Drosophila melanogaster: one gene and its partner. The protein of the gene in region 1 interacts with the protein of each later gene in a biochemical or structural test. Each region holds a gene or a part of one and is shown in the gene's direction. Other genes may lie near its edges. The genes, in order: boi and vn.

The links.
Region 2: the proteins of boi (region 1) and vn form a complex in vitro, tested with the Drosophila melanogaster proteins (one study listed by BioGRID).

What each region holds. Positions count from the first base shown.
Region 1 is NC_004354.4:2,466,843-2,472,010, reverse strand, and holds the start of boi (brother of ihog), read left to right. Parts: upstream 1-1,967; 5' UTR 1,968-2,120; exon of another isoform or gene 2,121-2,406; intron 2,407-2,599; 5' UTR 2,600-2,674; intron 2,675-5,168. Other genes in the region: trol (terribly reduced optic lobes), read left to right, coding at 817-859.
Region 2 is NT_037436.4:5,842,415-5,847,566, reverse strand, and holds the start of vn (vein), read left to right. Parts: upstream 1-1,902; 5' UTR 1,903-4,008; coding exon 4,009-5,152. UniProt on the Drosophila melanogaster protein: Ligand for the EGF receptor. Seems to play a role in the global proliferation of wing disc cells and the larval patterning. Shows a strong synergistic genetic interaction with spi, suggesting a molecular interdependence.

The sequences.
Region 1 (5,168 bases):
AGTTAGCACCAAATCAGACATATGCGGAGTTCACACATATGGTATTGTTACAGATCCTATCTAGTATTAGCCAATTCTTACTGGATTGTACTCCTTTCGAAGCCAAGCTCAGGTCACACAACTCTAAAGCTATATATTTGATCATACCCGAACACCAGTTATCTATAGGTAGAAAACTCTTGCATAGATAGGTAGTTCAACGTAACCATATCCTATAGGAAAAACCCTTAAAACAGATATCTGTGCAATCTATCCTGAGATACGGTAGCTTTAGCTCAATGTAGTCGAAATGTACTCTGCTTTGTGACCATATCTATGAATACTATTATTATTGTTACCAGCAAGGAATACCTATAAACCATATGAAACAATTATAAAATTATATATAATTTTACCAGATCTCAAAAAGCTGACTACGTTATTATTTGATACAGCTGTGTATTATCCAAGCTTATTAGCTAGATGTTCTTATAAAGATGGGTAGTTCTGAGATGCATAGTTTCCCAATTATTTAAAATAATATAATATATGTCAATAAAATAATAATATGGCATGTAAGAAGTTATAAATTCAAATTTACATTGACATTGAGTGTACGAAGAAAACCATAGTTCTTCTTCGCGTTGAGGCAAAGTCTGAAAATGCAGTTTGGCGAGGCTTTTATCAAATTTTATCAAATATAAGTAATGTATTTATTAAAGTTAGACCGCACACATTTGATTTTATAATAATTTTTTATAATAATTTTTTAATTACAAGTTTTTATTTTTTTAATTTATTTACAATTTCTCTCGTTTCTTCATTTTATTTAATTAGTAACGACGATCCACTGGGAGGAACCGAACCGCCAGTCGTCTGAGGACACAACCAACAGCCGAAACTAGCTTTTTAATTAAACATTAACAAATGAAACAAAACGAACAACAATTTTTATATATACAACATATGCATAAGCCCAAGAAAATCCACAAAAATTGAATATTATATCACTTACACATAATATAAAAAAAACAAAAACAAAAGAGAAACGATCACTTCAACTACAATTGCTTCTTCGATCCTTAAGTCTAAGTTAAAGATTGTAGCAAGGAAAAATGCGAAAATATCACAAACATTTATTTAACAAAAACGCCATGCAAGAAGTGAAACGAAACAGATACAATAATGCAACTAATGCAAAATAATACAGAAAATACAGTTAAAGCCTAGAACCCTAAGAACTTACTAACTAACTCGAGCAACAACAACGCATACTAGCCAACTGCAACCACAAAATCCACAATAGTGAAGGCATTTTAATCATAATTTTAGTCTCTAGCTTATACCTATGACTACGACTCTTTTTTTGCCAGCCCAGTGTAAAAAGTTGGAGATCGAAAATTGGCCCTACACACATACAAGACCACGTTATTGATTAAAAACCAATTGATAATACACCTACATACATATAATGATAAATGAATTACTAAGAATGCAACTATTGTGAACGAGCGAAAACCGTTGAGTGGATAAAAGCGAATGCAGAAGATATATTAAAATGAAATCAACAACAGTCTGGAATGTGTTTAATTGTGGGAGGAGTTCTTCATTCATAAATCATCATTTCCATAGATCATCTTCATCTCTATTAACGATTAAGATTAAGGATTAAGGATTCAGAATAAAGGTATTTATTATACTCATTATAAAACTTAAAAGGTATGCTCACAACAATCATTAGTTCCGACTTCCGTTATAATTCATTTGTAATATCAAAATACAGTGGCCTCCTCCCGATCAAGCAAATTCAAAATTGTAAGAGAAGAGAAGAATTCAATTACATTACAACAAAAGAGAAGAAAGAAGACAACTTCAAAATGTTCTCTTTTGGTTTCTCTCTTGGTTCTCTGCTCTTTCTCATCAAGATTTTCGAAGCGCGCCCAAAAGTATGCACGAATTGATATAAGTACTACATTACGTTACTTGGCTCACTTCGCTTCGCGCCGCCGAGCAAGAAAGACGTGTGTGCGGAGTCTGCGCGAAACTATAACAGAGTTATATTTGAATATATATCTCAAAATAAAATCGTCGTGCTAATAACGGTTATTTGTTTACCTTTTTTTTGGCTGTTCTAAATCCCTGTGAGTGCTGGTTCGGCTGCCCTTGAGGTGCATTCAAATTAGGAAGTGCAAAGAAAGAGAGAGCGAGAGAGAGAACGAGCGAGAGCGAGAAAAGTGCGTGTGCCAAGTTTGTTTTTATTTTTATAACGGCAGCCGGCTAAAAAGGCAGCGGCGTCGCGTAGGAAACACCTAATAACTATAAATTATGCCCTGGCGGAACATCAATACTTGGCGAATGTCCGTCGAGAAGTGATCTCCATATCCCCAGAAATTCGATTTAAGCCGATGCCAATCGCCCTGTTCTCGAGTGTGTGCATGTGTGTGTGTGTTCGAAAGGCTTTGAAAATGCCATAACATTTTAATGGGTTTCTGTTATTTGGACTGCCTTTTCTCTCGGCTCTCATTGTTCTTTTACTGCTTGTTTCTTATGTGATGGGAAAATCGCAAGAATGCTGCGACCAGTGATCAAAATCTAATCAAAATATTTACCGTTCGTTTAGAGTGCGACAAGCGGCGCAGATTGGAATTGGATTTGGATAGAGGATTTAGCTGCCCTTCGAGGTTTCAGTCAACAGGTGAGTTTTGCAACGGTAAATGGCCAATGGCCAGTGGCCAGTGTCTCGAAAGTAGTTCATCTGGTCAGTGCAGTCCGTAAATGTCGGTAAATCAGAGAAACCCCCTTCCCCGGAATTACCACTGCCATATCGATCGATTCCAGTTGACAAGTTTTTCGCGATGGTCATGTGGCCATGTCCTTTTTTGGCCAACAGGCGATGGCCAATGGCCAATTGCCAATTGCCGTTACTCTTATGTGTCAGCGGGCCCCCAACAAAATCACAAAATAACAACAAGTGTTGCACATCAAATCCAGCGCGTACATAAACCAGAAAAGTGCACAACCAAACCTGTCATCCGAGGTGGCAGGGGTCCCAAGACCATCCTTCATTCCCCTTTTTGCTCGTTGATAACATTAATGAACTGTCTATGTGCCGTGCACCAGAATAGAACCCCAAGTTGGGAATGGGATGGGGGATCGGGAGAGGTTGCACAACTACAGTGGGCCCTCCGTAATGTGGAGATCCTTAGACCAATATGTGAAACAATTATTATAATTCTTTGCAGAACTTAACTTTTCTCAAGAGTTTTTTTTTGTTTTTTTTTTGTTGTTGTATGCGCGGAACATAACCACCAGTTTCTACAGTCTCCACAGTCCGTCGTTTGCCAAGTCCACCTGTAGCTTAAGCACGCACATTTCTGTTGCCATTGGCAAGAGGTGAGCGAGCGGAATGCAACAGGCAGCTGGTCGCAGAACAAGATCATCTGGGAGAAGAGAGATAGAGATACATAGATGCATTCAGGGAACCGGACACTTGGCCAAAACCAAAACTAAAACCAATACCAATGCCAAACCTGAAACCGGAGAGCATTCCCATTTTCCAGCCCGTTCCCGCTAACAATAAATCAAAGGGCCGGGGGAAAAGCCCAACAATAAAAATCAAGCCAAGTGTCGTCGTCTCATTCTGCAGGCCAAAAAAGGGATGGAAGGCCAAAGGGGAATGGGAATCGGAATGGTCAGAGAGCCTTTGTCTCGTTGTTGATGGGATTTCATTATTACTTTCGATTGTGGCCCATTGAGACACAGTTCCTTAGCTCCGTCTTGTTCGTCGTCGAAAATGCAGACAAACAAAAAGGTCTCTCGGTCCAAACAAAAATAAACACACCGAGCAGCATCATCACCATCATCGCCGTCATCGTCATCGTTCTCATTCCCATTCCCATTCCCAGTCGCAGTCCCAATCCCAATCTTGTACCATCCACGTCGTCATCTTCCTGGTCTCCTTTGCTGCAACTCTAATCGCATAAGCAGATAGACCAGGTGAACTGTGGACGAGGGGAGCAAAGCGACAGGGCCACACTGAAAGAAGGTAGAAAATAAATAAAGCGATAAATGGAAAATAAATTTCAAAAAATTGCTTTTCAAGTGGCCCAGCAAACGAAACCCCCGCCCCGAAACCCAGGGCCCTATTCGATGTGGGGTCCACTCCAGCAGACTAGAGTCAGTCTGGCTAGCTACCGATCTGAAACATGGCTCTAGCCAGGTCCTTTTCACTGTTGAATCATTCGGGCTGCAATGAATCAATGGGAAATGGCTTAGCATAAAACGGGATAATTGGATGGGACAGTAAAGGGTCTCGATCTTGCAAGCATCTTAATTGCATCAATCGTACAGCCCACCCAGGCATGCGATTTAGAGTTAGAGGAGTGAATTCATTCCGCAAATGAAGAGCTTAACTCATAGCTGTACGCATTTCCAATTGATCTCGGCCACTATTTCCCATTCTGTGCGCTCGAATTTCATGGCCAAAACGTCCGCGATCGATTCTCACACCCCATTAGCACTGATCCACTGATCCAGTTTCCATCCAGCCCACATTCATAGTCATAGTCATAATGAGGAAAACAGAATGCTCCGAGTGCATTTGCCACAAAATTAGACATTGACACCTATTCCCCTTGGGATTTCGATTTCGAATTGGGTTCCGTAAAAACGGCGCATAAAAATTATTTCACGCCACACCAAAATGGGCCCCCAAGAAATTATGATTAATGCTGAAAACATAAATTGGATTTGATTTCTGTTTGTTTGCCGCTTTCTTGCAGCTTTGCCTCGCTTTTACTCGCTCTTTTTTCGGCGTTTTTGTGTCTTTGGGATTTGTTTTTGTTGGTCTTGGACTTCATGGATAACTTCCCCTTCGCCCTCTCTTCATCATTTTGTGTTGTATTTTTTTTTTTTTTTTTTTTTTTGCTAGGTAGCCGCCGCCTGTTCATTAGCACAGACTAATCATTGGAGCACAAGAGGCTGCCGTGGGGCAGGAGAAAAAAAGATCGAGAAAGGTGGCAATCAACGTGAATGAATGAATGGCTGAACTCTCGTCTCGACTTTGAATCTTGTGAATGAGCCTGAGACGCGGAGACGGCATGAATGGGAGGTATTCGTTCGGTCGGTTCGGGCGAGGGGTTATGTTTCTCCATGCCTTTTTGTGATCTTCGCTCTCCACCAGCGGAAGT
Region 2 (5,152 bases), on another chromosome or scaffold:
AGCAAACTCAAGACAATCTACCTGCTCGAACTCTGAACTCTGAACGCTGATCGCTGAGCAGCGGCGACAGGTGTCGAGCTTTATTTCCGCTTCCGGGCGCTTTTCGCGTATGAACTGCAATAGTTGGCCCAATCGATAAGAACACTATCATTTGGTAGCGTTTTTTTTTTGCGCTCTTATCAGCTGGTTTGTTTCGATAAGTAGGGTAAGTACCTGTTTTGCTCATTCAGAAACTGGCAATGACGTAGACCAAGTTGGCCCAGCTCCGTCACAAGTGGCCGACTTTGAACCCTTCTTTGCTTCTGGCTTTTCTTACAATTGTCGCACTTGTCACCACACCACTGCCGCCCCACCTAAGCTCCCCTTTTATGCTTTTTCTCTTTTATTTTTTTTTTCTTCTGTCAGCTTCTTTTATTGTTATGCGCAGTGCGTAGAACAAGTGGAAGCTTTGTTTGACAATAACAACAACAGCGAGTGAAACATCAGCAGCTGGGGCAAGTAAGAAACAAAAAAAAAAAAAAAAACGTTAAGTTTACACGACTTCCAAGCGCTGGACGGAATCACCTGCCGCATTTTGTTTTTTCTGTAGTCGCTGTTGTGGGCTTGACATTTGACAATAAAGCAAATAATCATGGGAAAAAAGCTGAGCCCCCAGAAGAACGACAACTCGCCGCCGCAGTCATCATAAGAAAATATCAAAAACGGGAGGAAATCCGGAACCGTAGTCAAAACAAACGAAAGCGTTGAGTTAAGAGCTGTTGGATGAAAGCAAAACTAAATTAAGATTGACGAGTTATGTAAGGGTCTCATATTGTGATCGATCGATTAGCAATAAATAGAAAAAATTATGTCTCTTGCTCACAATTTTGTTAACAAATTGCTCATTGCTTTTAGGCAAATTGTTAAAAAGTTACAGCTCTGTAATGATAACTAAGATTAGTTATGAATCCAAACTTTCTTGAACTAGATAAGATCGCCGACAGTACATTTAACTTATTCAAATGCAGCATAAGCGCACATCATTCATTCAATTACTTGGAATGACTCATTGAGCTAGGACTTGAACTTTTTGCGTATGAGCAATAATTTTTAAAGACCCTCAGACTGGAACTCATTTATAGCAGCCTATCAGAAGCTCGACGATTATGAGTAACTTATTGGAAATCGGAGCAAAAGCCAATGACAACTGTCCTCTTATCTATTTTTATCTATTGGATTGATAATATTGTCGTTAGACACCTATTTAATCGTCAACGGGTTCGATTTCCCTCCTAGTTCGGTTTTCATTTTAACGAGTAACGACGATATTTTTTTAATACGTTGTTTTTCTAGCATATATCGTATCGACTTATTACGGTAAGAAATTATCCTTGCAGCAGAGGAATAGAGGGATTTTTCGAGAGAGCGAGAGAGTAAATCGGATTTACAAAATATATTTTAATACCCTAAATTTGAAAAAAAAAGGACATTATAGACTTAAAGAATTTTAGAGCAATCTCTAAAGAAATTAGCATATTGTGAAGCATACTTTTAGAGACGAATAAGTAAAGGTCTCGTGCCCTCCTTGATGTTCCATATTAAATATCCCAATTGTTAACCACAAATCGCCTTTAAGTAATTGATATAAAGTAATGAATTGGATCACCCGAAATTGTTGAGAGAAAACTGCAGGGTTGAGAAAATGCTGGCGTTGCTGTGAGAAGAAAACGTTGGAGAAAACACTCAACGTTTGAGCGAAATGAGCGTGCCGAAGATATTCGAACACGGCCGAACGCAGTCGAACAAATTCCGACCAGTGAGATACGTTTGAGTCGTGAGATACGTTTGAGTTGTATCCGTGAGATACGTTGTGAATGCTACAACTCTGCTCTGCATCGGTGAGATACGTTTGAGTCGTTTTCGCGGCGTCAAATCGAGCAGACCTGTGCCGCTCCGTAGAGCGAGTTCGTCCAAATAAAAAAAGAATTATACGAAATTCCGCCTGTGTTAGGAGCAGAGAAAAGAATAATTTTAAACCAACATACACAATCAGTTAGTTTCCACCGACAGTCCGCAGAAACCATTCGACGGCAACGGAACGGGCGCGCGATTGTCGGCAATCCGTAAGATAGCCAAATATTATTATTGTTCAGATACTCACTGAGGGCGTTGATAAAAGATCAGCCAGACAACTGCAGATCCGAGTGGAGTGTTTTGAAATCAGTGAAATTCTGTGTGAAAAATCGTTGATTTATTAATATTCAAGAATAAAAGTTCCCAGCGAATTTCATCAGCTGGAGTAACCGAAGTGACCCACCAAGCAAATCGAACAACACAAATCGATCGAACGTGTAAAAGGACTTTCGGTTTCATTAAGCGTGTGCAATTGCTGATTTTCCCCGGCAAAGCGGACTTTTTGCGGAATGAATGAAATAAAAAAAAAACAGCAGTGGCAACTATAATAATAAAAACAACAACAGTGCAACAACAGCCGGGGCATCTTCATAGATTTTGGCTCTCCTGAAGCAACAACTTCTGCCTGCACTTGGTATATGTACTTATCACATAGACATATATATACGCACAGATATATAAAACAAAAACGATCGCTTCTCGTGCCAGCGCGTGTGATTGTGTGCGTTCCCATGTTGCATATATATATGCACAAAAAATATATATATTTATCTAGAGCCGACTGTTGCGACGACTTTTCTATATAATCGGCTAGTGAGCACGCAGACATCGAAAAGGTGCACAAATACATCAGCAGATGCGGGTATATATGTATTGCACATATATCTAGCCAAAGCCAAAGTAGAAGATATATATGCGTATAAGCTGAACGCGGCGCACTCTGCTCTGTTTTTTCTTTTATAATTACTTTTGTCTAAAATTAGAAGACGTGTGTGTTGTGTGTGCCCCGTCCGTGTATCCGTATCCGTGAGATACGCGAGAGTGTCCGCGTCTGCTATATCGCACATCATCATCGCCGTACACCATCCGCCGTCCAATATCCACCATCATCATCATCATCATCGCCATCCCCATCATCATCGTCGTCGTCGTCATCAGAGATCAGAGATCTGCAGCGGTGTGTGTGCCAGAAAAGACGACTCGTGAATCAGACTACGGCTACGACTACGGGTGCGACTACGGCTATATAGGCGAGAGATCGCGTATACGGCCAGACAAACATTATCGTATATCTGGCGCCGAGGATTACAATTACAAGAGCAGCAAACGCAACAGCAGCAGCAGGAGCGGCAGCCGAAGTTAAAGCCGAATACGAGTACGAATACGAGTACGAATATCCGAGCCCCACAAACGAATACGAATACAAATACGAATCCGAACCCGAATCGAGGCGATACGAAACGATCGCGCGCGTGAAAAGCCTCGTGAAGAAAAGCGCTACGAAAAAAGTGGGGGAAAAATCAAACGCCACGCGACCTTAGGCCCGTCCAATTTTGGGGGGGGGCGTGCAGCGGGGCGTGGCCGTGCGTCGACTCCTAGCGATCGCTCAAGTGAAACGCGGCGAAATTCTGTTCAGATAACAAAAATGAGTCACCAAAATAAGCAGCAACAGCAACAGCAGCAGCAGCAACATCAAAAGCAACAGCAACAATCGAGTGCGGCAAAGTGTTCATAAATTAATGCTAGGCATACAGTGTGTTAGACCAGTCCGAAATACACTATCCCCCTCTCTCTCGCTCTCGAACAGTCCGTCTCTCTCTTGCCCCTGCTGTCGCTCAAAATGCTACGAAACTATCGAAAGTATTTGCAGGATAAACGGAAATACGACAAGCCACAACGACGAGGCAGCGAATTTTACATTTGTCACGTTTAGGCAAATTGCAAGGACAAAGGACACACCAACCCCCCAGCAGCAGCAGCAGCAGCAGCAGCAGCAGCAGCAGCAGCATCACGCAGCAATACGCAGCAGCAGCAGCAAAGCGCAGCAGCAACACTCGCTATCGAGATTTTGTACATAAAGTCGGGGCAATAGCAGCAACAACTTTGGAGGACGCCATGTATGCGCAACATTTGCGCAAATGGAGTCTAAAAACAAAAAAGCAACTAATGCCATTGATATTGCTAATTATCAGCTACATGTTGCTACTAAACACATGTGTGTTGTCGTCGTCGGCGACGACGCAGCAGCAACAACAACAGCAGCAGCAGCAGCAGCATCTTCCAAGATTATGGGAAGGCAGTGCCGAAGAAAGCAGCTACTATATACCACTGAGTTCGGATAATGGCAGCGGGAGCAGTGAAAGCTCCGCCGAGAGCGGTAGCAGCAGCAGTAGAAGCAGCAGCAACAACATCGACAACAATATCTTAAGTAGGCTGCTCAGCCTCAACAGCAATAGTCTTAGTAGCCGTAGCAATGTTAAGTTAAAGCCAGCAACAGTATTCGACGCCGGCAGCAGTACACCCGCTCAGCAGGAGCAACATGTGGCTGCCGTGCCAGAGCAGCAGCAGCAGCAACAGCAGCAGCAGCAGTCAATGCAAAAAGTTCCAAATACGTTAATCAATAGTCAAATATATAATTTATTATACAATGGCATGCCCAGCGAGGCGGCGAGCAGCAAAATGCGTCGCCACATTCAACCATCACAGCTGCCACATCAGCCAGAGAGCAGAGCGCAATTACCGAGCAACTACAGCAGTCGGCCGGCGGTGCGGAGCTATCTAATCGAGTCCTACGAGATGCCAGAGAGCATGTTAGAGGATCGCAGTCCGGAGCAGGCGGCGCGAAGTCGTCGGGATGGCAGCAACACCAACGGCAGCCGGCAGCAACAGCGCACCGGCCACCGGCAACAGTTGCAGCAGGACAAGCGCGATCACCGCCGCCAGCGGCAGGATCAGCAGAAGGAGCAGCGCCAGCAGCAGCAGCAGCGTCAGCACAAGAGCGGCAACAAGCACCAGCAGCAGCAGCAGCAGCGCAGGAAGCACCAGCGGAAGCACCAGCGATACAACCGCTATTGCTCCGCCCGAGATCCCGCCCAGTTGGCCTTTGCGGCACCCACCGTTTTCCAGGGTGTCTTCAAGTCGATGTCCGCCGATCGGCGGGTGAACTTCTCGGCCACCATGAAGGTGGAGAAGGTGTACAAGCAGCAGCACGATCTTCAACTGCCCACGCTGGTGCGATTGCAGTTCGCGCTGAGCAACT